3 linked regions of the Sus scrofa genome follow. The protein of the gene in region 1 interacts with the protein of each later gene in a pairwise test. Links are inferred from orthologs where the notes say so. Each region holds a gene or a part of one and is shown in the gene's direction. Other genes may lie near its edges.

Region 1 (4,103 bases):
AAGGACTCCGGGAAGGCCGCTCCGACCCCGCGCTTGGCGCCCGACTTGCCTCGTCCCGAGCAATGCATGCTGGGAAGACCCGTCTAGTCCTCTAGCGTCCGCAGTGGGGGCGGGGCACGCGGGGCGGGGCGAAAGAGGAGTAAAGCTTGAAGCCGCGCACCAGCAGACAGATACATCGCCCTGCCTAGCGGATTATAGTAACCCAACTAAACTTCCGCGAGCGTTACGCAGACATGGTCTCCCCCGAAATAAGGCTATCGTCTAAGCCTACGGCGATAGCTGGCTCTCGGAGTGAGGTTCCCGCCTGGGACTTGGGGGCATATTCGCTTTTCTGGCACCAGAGAAAATCTCAACGTGGGGAAGGACTTCATCTGAGGCTGTGTGTTCAGCTGAATCTTCGGAACCTGGGTCCCTAACTAGATCTCGGGGGTACATCTAGTCTGGGCCCCCAGAATAGAAATGGAGGCGTCTCTGGGTTGGGTACCTGTCTTCTGAAATGGAGCTTTCATTTGGGAATAGAGACACCGCTTGCTCGAAGGAACTGGGGTCCTCATCTGAAAGTCAGGGTATTATTGTATGCGCTAGAGTACTTAGGTGAAGCCGCGGATATTTCTAGACTGCAGTCCCTATCTAAGGTAGAGTGTCCTCCAACGGCCTGGAACCGAGCATGTATTCCTGGGGCAGAGGTTCAAAAAGATAATTGGCTGAACTGCAGACTCCCCTCGAATAGGGAGCAAAGTGGAAGGAGGTTTTCGAGAACAGACCCCTTCTACGACAAAGAGCGAGGTTGCAAATGTTGGCCCTGCCCTGCGTGGGGCTCAGGGCTCAATGGACAAGGATCTGTGGCTTTCGCCCATAACTGGAGTTGTTCTGCCTCTAACCACTGGCACCCCGAGGACCTATCTCAAGATAGCTAATCGGTTCGTCTATGATTGGTTCGCGTCAGGAGCTCAATGGCTCCCAGCCAGTTGCCAGTTAGGTAACAGAAGAGACAGACCTGAGGCGGTGTTGGGACCAGATTTGGAAAATAGGGGGAAATGATCGACATGAAGTTGAGCCTATGGAGTCAGGTAGGAATGGACCTCGGATCAAACTTCTTGGAAAGGGCATGGACCGTGTGTTTGGCTGGTTGCTAAGGGGAGGTCGGCCGCTACAGGGACGTGAGAGTGATTGGTGAAAATAAGAAAAGATGAAGCCAATGGAAGGAGTGTGGCAAGACGTAGGGCCCAATCAGTGAAGGGGAGTGACCTGGAAGGTACCAATATGTTAATTAGGCAGGGGGAGTCTTTGAAAAAATATAGACAAGAGGTTGACAAGGTGAACCTTGGAAGGGGATAATATGGAAATATAGCTTCTATTATCACCTAAAAGTCAGATCATGAGAAAATTAATTCACGCTTCTAGCCGTGACGGGATATGATAGGAAATTTCCCCTGTAGGTGCTTTGCATAGTTCGCTCCGCTTGATCACGTGAGCCGGGTCCAAGATGGCGGCAGGGGTGGCCGGGTGGGGGGTTGAGGCAGAGGAGTTCGAGGATGCCCCTGATGTGGAGCCGCTGGAGCCCACGCTTAGCAACATCATCGAGCAGCGTAGCCTTAAGTGGATCTTCGTTGGGGGCAAGGGTGGCGTTGGCAAGACCACCTGCAGGTAAGGAGGCTGCGGCGGGGGCCGAGAAAACGGGTGGGATGTACCACCGGTTAAAGGGGAGGCTATGGGCCGGTCTTCCACAACCAACATGGCTAGAAGGCTGGCCCGGGGTCTTCAGGGTTGTACTCTCCGGAAATTACGTGGAGTAAGTGGAAGATACCTCCTGAATGTAGGTCCGCATCTTCTGAATCGTACAATCTGCTGGAGTTCAAGGGCTGAACCACATTTGATCCAGCGCACTGGGGGCCCGGAGCGCACTTAGATGTCTCAGTCAGCTGGACTGTACCAGATTGACCTCAGGGTAGGGCGAGGGGCACCAGGTGAACCCACTAGTCTGGTGAACCTTGCCATTATATGCCAACGTGGGAGTGGAGGTGGAAGGCTGGGAGAGGGCATATGATCAGGCTATCCCAGTCATCTGGGAGGAGGGAGAGGGGTCCCTCGGATAGAGTACCTGGGAAAAGTGAGTTGAACCATAGAGTTTAGCCGAAGACGCGAAGGATCCCTTAGCTTAGCGTTGTCGAAAGGGGCAGAGAGTCGAGCTATACTGGCTAGACAGCTGGACATGCCACTTTGCTAGTAAAGAAGTAAGCATCAGGCCAGACCGACATTCATTAGAACCTTGCTACTCTAACCAGCTAGAGGGGTCTGTGAGAGATGTCTGAGAAGGTCCCTCTACAAGGATTGAGGCTTGCTCCCACAGTTATCCATACTCTCCTCTCAAGGTCCTTGCTGATCCAGGTCCCCTGCTCCTGGGCCCCTTCATGTCCTCTTGCAGACCTAGGGAAAGCAGAGGCTGATTCTTCAATCCATACCTTTTGGCCTTTCCCTTGCCCAGCTGCAGCCTAGCAGTCCAGCTCTCCAAAGGGCGGGAGAGTGTTCTGATCATCTCTACAGACCCAGCCCACAACATCTCTGATGCATTTGACCAGAAGTTCTCCAAGGTGCCTACCAAGGTCAAAGGCTATGACAACCTCTTCGCCATGGTAAGTGTACCAGGATTCAGTCCTAACGCTCTGTCCCAACTCTGGCAAAGGCACCTTCAGGCTTTTCCCTTGTGAACAACATCCATCAGCAGTTACCATGTCCACCCATTCTCCATCCTCTGTCTCTCCACTTTCACCCCCTCAACATACCCATAGGGGAATGACTGAGGAATGCTTCTGGTGCAAAGGGAGACCAGAGTGACTGGAGCTTAATGAGTAAGGAGTCAGGAGAGAGACATCAGTGAGGGCTACATGGACCTTGTAGGCCCCTGGAAACAGGTCAGCTTTGATTCCAAGTTTAATGGGAAGCTCTTTGTTTTAAGCAGAGTAATGTCAATGCCAAATTAGTTTTTCAAAAAGTTCCTTGTAGGGAGTTCCCATTGCAGATTAAGAATCCAACTAGTATCCATGAAGATGTAAGTTTGATCCCTGGCCTCGCTCAGTGGGTTAAGGATTTGGTGTTGCTGTGAACTGTGATGTAGGTCACAGATGTGGCTCAGATCTGGCATTGCTGTGGCTCTGGCATAGGCCAGCAGCTGTAGCTCTGATTAGACCCCTAGCCTGGGAACCGCAATATGCTGCGGGTGTGGCCCTAAAAAGACAAAAAGACAAAAAAAAAAAAAAAAAAAAGAATGGAAACAGAATACCCATTGTGTCTCAGCAAGTTATGAACCCGACTAGTATCCAGGAGAATGTGGCCTCATTCAATGGGTTAAAGATCTGGTGTTGCTGTGGCTGTGATATAGGCCAGCAACTGCAGCTCTGATTCGACCCCTAGCCTGGAAACTTCCATATGCTGTAAGTACGGCCCTAAAAAGCACCAAAAAAAAAAAAGAATCTGACTGTGGGGAGTTATCTTCACAGCTCAGCGGTTAGCAAACCCAACTAGGATCCATGAGGGTGCAGGTTTAATCCCTGGCCTCGCTTAGTGGGTTAAGGATCCGGCATTGCCATGAGCTGTGGTGTAGGTCACAGAAGTGACTTTGATCCTGTGTTGCTGTGGCTGTGGTGTAGGCTGGCAGCTGTAGCTCCGATTTGATCCCTAGTCTGGGAACTTCCATATGTTGCAAGTGTGGCCCTAAAAAGCACACACATAAAAAAGAATCTAACTGCAGGGAATTCCCTTCATGGCTCAGCGGTTAACAGTTAACGAACCCAACTAGGGTACATAAGGCATATCCTCCATATGCCATGGGTGCAGCCCTAAAAAGCAAAAAAAAAAAAAAAAAAAAAGAATCTGACTGTATCAGCTTGGTTTGATGGGAAGGTGTAGGTTCAACCCCGGCTCAGTGTAGTGGGTTAAAGATCTGGCATTGCCGTAGCTATAACTTAGTTCACTGCTGCTGCTCAGATTCCGTCCCTGACCTAAGAATTTCCATATGCCACAGGTGAGGCCATTTAAAAAAAAAAAAAATGGGGAGCTCCCATCGTGGCTCAGCAGAAACAAATCTAACTAGTAACCATGAGGAC
Region 2 (2,849 bases), on another chromosome or scaffold:
GGGTGTGTGAGAGAGCACACGAGGTGCGTGGGGGAGGGAGGGAACGGGGACCAGAAGTAAGAGGATTGGTTCCCAACTCCAAGGAACTTTGAACTTGCATCTGTTTGTTACTCTACTAGTTACTATAAATAATTTGCACATTTTATTGTCAGTCATTTACATGTCTGGGATGAAACTGTCTCCTAGCTCACTGCCCAGGACATTTGGCAATGACTGGGGACATTTTTGATCGTCACAACAGGTAGCAGAGCGCTACTAGCACCCAGTGGGTGGGGTCCAGAGATGCTGCTAGACGCCTCACAAAACACTGCACGGCCCCCACAACAGAGAATTATCTGGCAAAAACGTCAGTTGAAAAATGCTGCAATATGTAATATTACTTAATTTAATATTGATTAATCACCCAGTAATGAACATAAAAAGACAAATCATTTCCCTAAGGAACACTTCCTTATGATCATGCAACAAAATGATATCAAGCTAGCATTTTTCCTCCTATAGTTTTAATTGTTAGCTAATCCAGGAAGTAAAATTTTAAATATTTGAGAAAATGTTAACATCTAGAGAAAATTTCCTAGTAAAACTTTTATTTTAAAAGCATAGCCTAGCATTTAATATATTGGCAGTTAATACCTATTTGAAAAAGAAGAGAATATTAGCATAATTAATCAACTTTTTTAGGGTTTGAAAGGCACTGAATGTATGGTTGCCTCTTCTATATTTCTCTCTTGACTGCTTTATTTAGACTAATACCATATTTAGATATCTTATGAAGTAATACTGTAAGCCTTAAAAGATGTTTCACAGTATTCATTTAAAATATTCCATGGAGGAGTTGTGGCTCAGCAGGTTAAGAACCTGACATAGTATCCGCGAGGATGCGGGTTCGAACCCTGGCCTCACTTAGTGGATTAAGGATCCAGTGTTGCCATAAGCTGCCGCATGGGTCACAGATGCAGGCCGGATCTGGATCTGGCGTTGCAGTGGCTATGACGTAGGCCGGCAGCTGCAGCTCTGATTTGACCCCTAGCTCAGGAACTTCCATAAACTGCAGGTGCGGCTGTAAAAAGAAAGAAAGAAATGTTCGATGGATAACCCTTTTCATAGCAGATAACATTAGAAATATAAACAATCTTCCCTTCCATAAATGAAACTTTAACAAATGGAACAAGTTGAAAAGAGAATCATTTGGAGATGCACACACACCATGCCAGGCATCCTACAGGACAGAGAGATGTCTGAGACTCAGTTGTTGTGGGTAGGGCTACACCAGTCTCTGAAATGCCACTGAGGACACCATGGAGTCATTTTCTGGGAGGGCACCTTGGGAATGAGCCATTGGGTGCTTGCCCAGCTAAACAAACCTTGCCTGGGTTTGTACCAAAAATGTTTCCCCTGCATCAGCCCCCTGTTCTTTGTACTCCTTCAGAGTTAAGTACTAAAAATCGATATTCATGGTAGGGATCCTGAAATAATTCCTTCCTTCCTTCCTTCCTTCCTTCCTTCCTTTCTTTCTTTCTTTCTTTCTTTCTTTCTTTCTTTCTTTCTTTCTTTCTTTCTTTCTTTCTTTCTTTCTTTCTCTCTCTCTCTCTCTTTCCTTCCTTCTTTTTCTTTTTCTTTCTTTTTTTCTTCCTTCCTTTCTTTCTCTCTTTCTCTCTTCCATATGCACCTGTGGCATATGGAGGTACCCAGGCTAGGGGTCAAATCCGAGCTGCAGCTGTCCTCTACAGCAATACCAGATCCTTAACCCATGGAGTGAAGTCAGGGATCGAACCCGCATCCTCTTGGGTGCTAGTCTAAATCGTCTTCTTTACTCGCTAAGCCGTAATGGGAACTCCCTAAAATTCTTTCCTAATCACCTAGGAAAGTACACATCCTTGCTTGCTGTTCCACTTACCTGGCCATATGGCAAAGGTTATCTTGAGAATGCCTGCTTGAACTTAGATGTGGGTCAGACCTCAGGCATCTGAATCATAAGCTCCCATGCTTTTCTGTGCCAGGACCTGGGAAGAAGGCAAGGTGCTCATCTTCGACGACTCCTTTGAGCACGAGGTGTGGCAGGACGCCAAGTCTTTCCGGCTGATTTTCATCGTGGATGTGTGGCACCCGGAGCTGACACCCCAGCAGAGACTCAGCCTTCCTGCAATTTAGTCGTGCCGTCTCGGACACGCTGGAGAGGTTCCGACTCCTTGATGTGGACATAGACCTTCAAACACCATAGCCCTTAATTCCCTTGACTTGCAGCCTGAAAAATTTCTAAACCTCCTCTGGGATCGGAAGATGCTAAAGGGAATATTCGCCTTGCTGTAGTTCTTTTAGAAAAGACCTGCCGGTTTTCACCCAGGACAGCCCTAATCTGATGCCCGTATTCCAGGTGAACACATGATGCTTCTACCTTGCCAGCCAAAGATATTTTTTTCCACTGAAAGTAGGCAAAATCAACATAAATGAGAATATGTGTAGAGATTGTGAATAATTGCTTTAGTTTGCCATTTTTCTCTACAGTTATATTTTTCGAGGGTCGCTAGACCATTTTGTCATCACATACCACGACTGTTTTTGTTCATTTTAGTGACAGGCTGTATAAATGCTTGACTTCTAGCTGTAGCTTCCCTGGTGAACTCAGATTTCCATCTTTTAGTTATTTTTAGTAAAAGGCACTCATTTGAAAAAAGAAAATTCTACTTTCCTAATACAAAGGAGAAGGAAGTAATCACGCCAGTGTCTATGAACTGGACTGCTCCCTACCCATTGGGTCGATTTACTCTTTTGTCTTCATTGAGAGCCGGTGTCTTAATTTCTCTCCTCGCCATGTGAATTGTGGAAATACTGTCAAAATGGTATTTCTT
Region 3 (2,916 bases), on another chromosome or scaffold:
TCTAGCCCAGTGGTTCCCAGCTAGCTGTGATCTTTCTCCCCAGGGGCCACCTGACAAAATATCCCCTGAGACATTTTTGATTGTTAAGACTAGGCATCTAGTGGGTAGAGGCCAGGGATGCTGCTGAATATTCTACAATGAACGGGATAGCCACCTCACAACAAAGAATTGCTCAGCCCCAAATGCCAATAGCGCTGAGGTTGAGAAGTTGGTGGCTGTGCATGTCCAGTGCCCCAGGCTGCCCCTTGGAGGTGGCCCTCTTTATGGAGCCAGCCAGTATAATCCCGCCTCTTCTAAAAAAGTGGCCAGCGAGATACGGCTGGGCTGCCCAGACACAGGTAAGATTTTAAATCCTTTAATAATATGTAACTAGAAGCTCTAATCATAGCATTGGTGCCAAAACTGTAATTGCAGTAATATAATAGAGTTCCATCAGCCAGCTTTATATTTATCACCTAAAGGCAATAAATACATTCATTATAAAGCAATAATAATTTAAGAGTGAGTCTAGTGGTAGAAGAGAATGGTATTGTTTCCTGGAGAGTGAAGGGCAAAAAAGGATTGCCCTGGAGTTCCCGTCGTGGCGCAGTGGTTAACGAATCCGACTAGGAACCATGAGGTTGCGGGTTCGGTCCCTGCCCTTGCTCAGTGGGTTAACGATCCAGCGTTGCTGTGAGCTGTGGTGTAGTTTGCAGACGCGGCTCGGATCCTGCGTTGCTGTGGCTCTAGCATAGGCCAGTGGCTACAGCTCCAATTCGACCCCTAGCCTGGGAACCTCCATATGCCGCGGGAGCGGCCCAAAGAAATAGCAAAAAAAGACAAAAAAAAAAAAAAGGATTGCCCTGAGGTTCTTGGGATCCCTTTATCAAGAAAACCATTTCTGGGAGTTCCCTGGTGGCCTAGTGCTTAAGGACTCGGTGTTGTCACTGCTGTGGTTTGGTCTGTGGCTTGGGTTTGGGAGCTTCCCATTGCTGTGGGCATGGCCAAAAAAGAAAAACCCCCAAAAAACAAGAAAAGAAAACCACGTCAGGGAGTTCCTGCTGTGGCTCAGCAGTAACGAACCCAGCTAGTATCCTGAGGAAGTTGTAATGAACACATGCACACACACAAAAACATCCAGTATTAACAAGAATAGGAGCTCCTGTCATGGCCCAGCAGTAATGAACACGACTGGTATCCATGAGGACGCAGGTTCGATCCCTGGCCTTGCTCAGTGGGTGAAGGATCCAGCGTTGCTCTGAGTTGTGGTGTAGGTTGCAGACTCGGCTCAGATCTGGTGTTGCTGTGGCTGTGGTGTAGGCCAGTTCCCATTTAATGCCTAGCCCGGGAACTTCCATGTGCCCCGGGTGTGGCCCTAAAAAGACAAACAACAACAACAAAACCCCATGTCTGTCTATGTACCCAGTCAGGTGATCACATACTCGTGGACACTCACTCACTCATTCGGCACATGACTGTCTAAGACTTTTCCATATGTCAGACCTAGCAGTGAAGTGGACACAGCTCCTGCGCTCATCCCAGAAGGGAAAGCCACACGCATATAGGCAACTTGGGTGTCGAATGACAAGTGCTAGTTGACTGAGCCAGCACTTGAACCCAGGCCTGCCGTTTCCCTCTCTTGTGTCACCTCCTGATGTGAGCGCATCAGTATGTGTGCCTCTCTCTGTGCTTGTGTTCTGTGTTTGTGGGCATGTGTGATGTGTGCTAATGTGTCTCTGAATCATGGGGCAGAGGCATAACCCCTGATGTGTATCATGTGCTTATTCTCATGAGTCTCATAAGCCCCTGCACACCTGACTTCATTTGTGCCTGTGCGCATGTGTTCGTGTGGATGTGAGAGCATTGTACACACGTTTGCATGTGTGTCCATTGCGTTCTTAACTGTTGTGGGGAGTCACACATGTGGGCTTGTCAGGACACGTACAAGGGCATGCCTCTTCCCGGGGTTGTGTATGTGTCTGGGTTTTGTCTCTGTCACCCAGGTGTCCCTTGTGGTGAATGTGGCTAGCGAGTGTGGCTTCACAGACCAGCACTACCGCGCCCTGCAGCAGCTGCAGAGGGACCTGGGGCCCCACCACTTCAACGTGCTCGCCTTCCCCTGCAACCAGTTTGGTCAGCAGGAGCCCGACAGCAACAAGGAGATCGAGAGCTTCGCCCGTCGCACCTACAGTGTCTCTTTCCCCATGTTCAGCAAGATCGCAGTCACAGGCACAGGGGCCCACCCTGCCTTCAAGTACCTGACCCGTGAGTCCCGAGCCTTCCCTCTGCTGGCTGAGGCCTGGGCTCCCTGGGCGGTGGAAGCTTCTGGCTGGCTGGGTGACCCGGGGCCCCGTCCAGACCCCGCACGTGGGTCGATGGTCTGTTCTCATGCTCATCTTCGAGGATGGGCCGCCTAAGAACATCGCCACCCCTGCTGCCTCGCGGTTCTCCCTCAGAGTCACTCTAGTAGACTTCTCTGGGCTCTCCTTTCCCTCTGGGGGAGCTCCTAGAAGGAGACTGGGCCCTCAGATTTTAGGCAAAATGGAGGGGTTGAGTTTGTGGACTTAGCTGCAGACAGGGGACACCACATGCCTGGAGAAGACTGGCAGGTATCACCTGTCCCAAGTCAGAGGCAACATCTACAAGCCACAGGAGGTAAACCTTCTGAGCCAGGATACCAGATCTTTTTTCTTTTTAGGGCCACACCTGCAGCATATGAAGCTCTCCGTCTAGGGGGCGAATTGGAGCTGCAGCTGCCAGCCTACCCACAGCCACAAGCAATGCCCAATCCGAGCCTCATCTGTGACCTATGCCTGCAGCTCATGGCAACACCCAGATGCTTAACCCACTGAGCAAGCCCTATGGATTGAATCTGCGTCCTCATGGATACTGGTTGGGTTCTTAACTCACTGAGCCAAAACAGGAACTCCACCAGAT

Evidence for each region. The genes of interacting proteins can lie anywhere in the genome.
Region 2: the proteins of ASNA1 (region 1) and ASPH interact in binary tests that used the Homo sapiens proteins (3 or more experiments, as listed by UniProt). The two-hybrid records come from large-scale screens. The link is inferred for Sus scrofa from reciprocal best matches to the Homo sapiens genes GET3 and ASPH.
Region 3: the proteins of ASNA1 (region 1) and GPX7 interact in binary tests that used the Homo sapiens proteins (3 or more experiments, as listed by UniProt). The two-hybrid records come from large-scale screens. The link is inferred for Sus scrofa from reciprocal best matches to the Homo sapiens genes GET3 and GPX7.

The regions. Positions count from the first base shown.
Region 1 is NC_010444.4:66,258,329-66,262,431, reverse strand, and holds the start of ASNA1 (ATPase ASNA1), read left to right. Parts: upstream 1-1,296; 5' UTR 1,297-1,486; coding exon 1,487-1,647; intron 1,648-2,485; coding exon 2,486-2,633; intron 2,634-4,103.
Region 2 is NC_010446.5:72,101,870-72,104,718, forward strand, and holds part of ASPH (aspartyl/asparaginyl beta-hydroxylase), read left to right. Parts: intron 1-2,000; coding exon 2,001-2,151; 3' UTR 2,152-2,849.
Region 3 is NC_010448.4:159,592,874-159,595,789, reverse strand, and holds part of GPX7 (glutathione peroxidase 7), read left to right. Parts: intron 1-1,982; coding exon 1,983-2,244; intron 2,245-2,916. UniProt on the Homo sapiens protein: It protects esophageal epithelia from hydrogen peroxide-induced oxidative stress. It suppresses acidic bile acid-induced reactive oxygen species (ROS) and protects against oxidative DNA damage and double-strand breaks.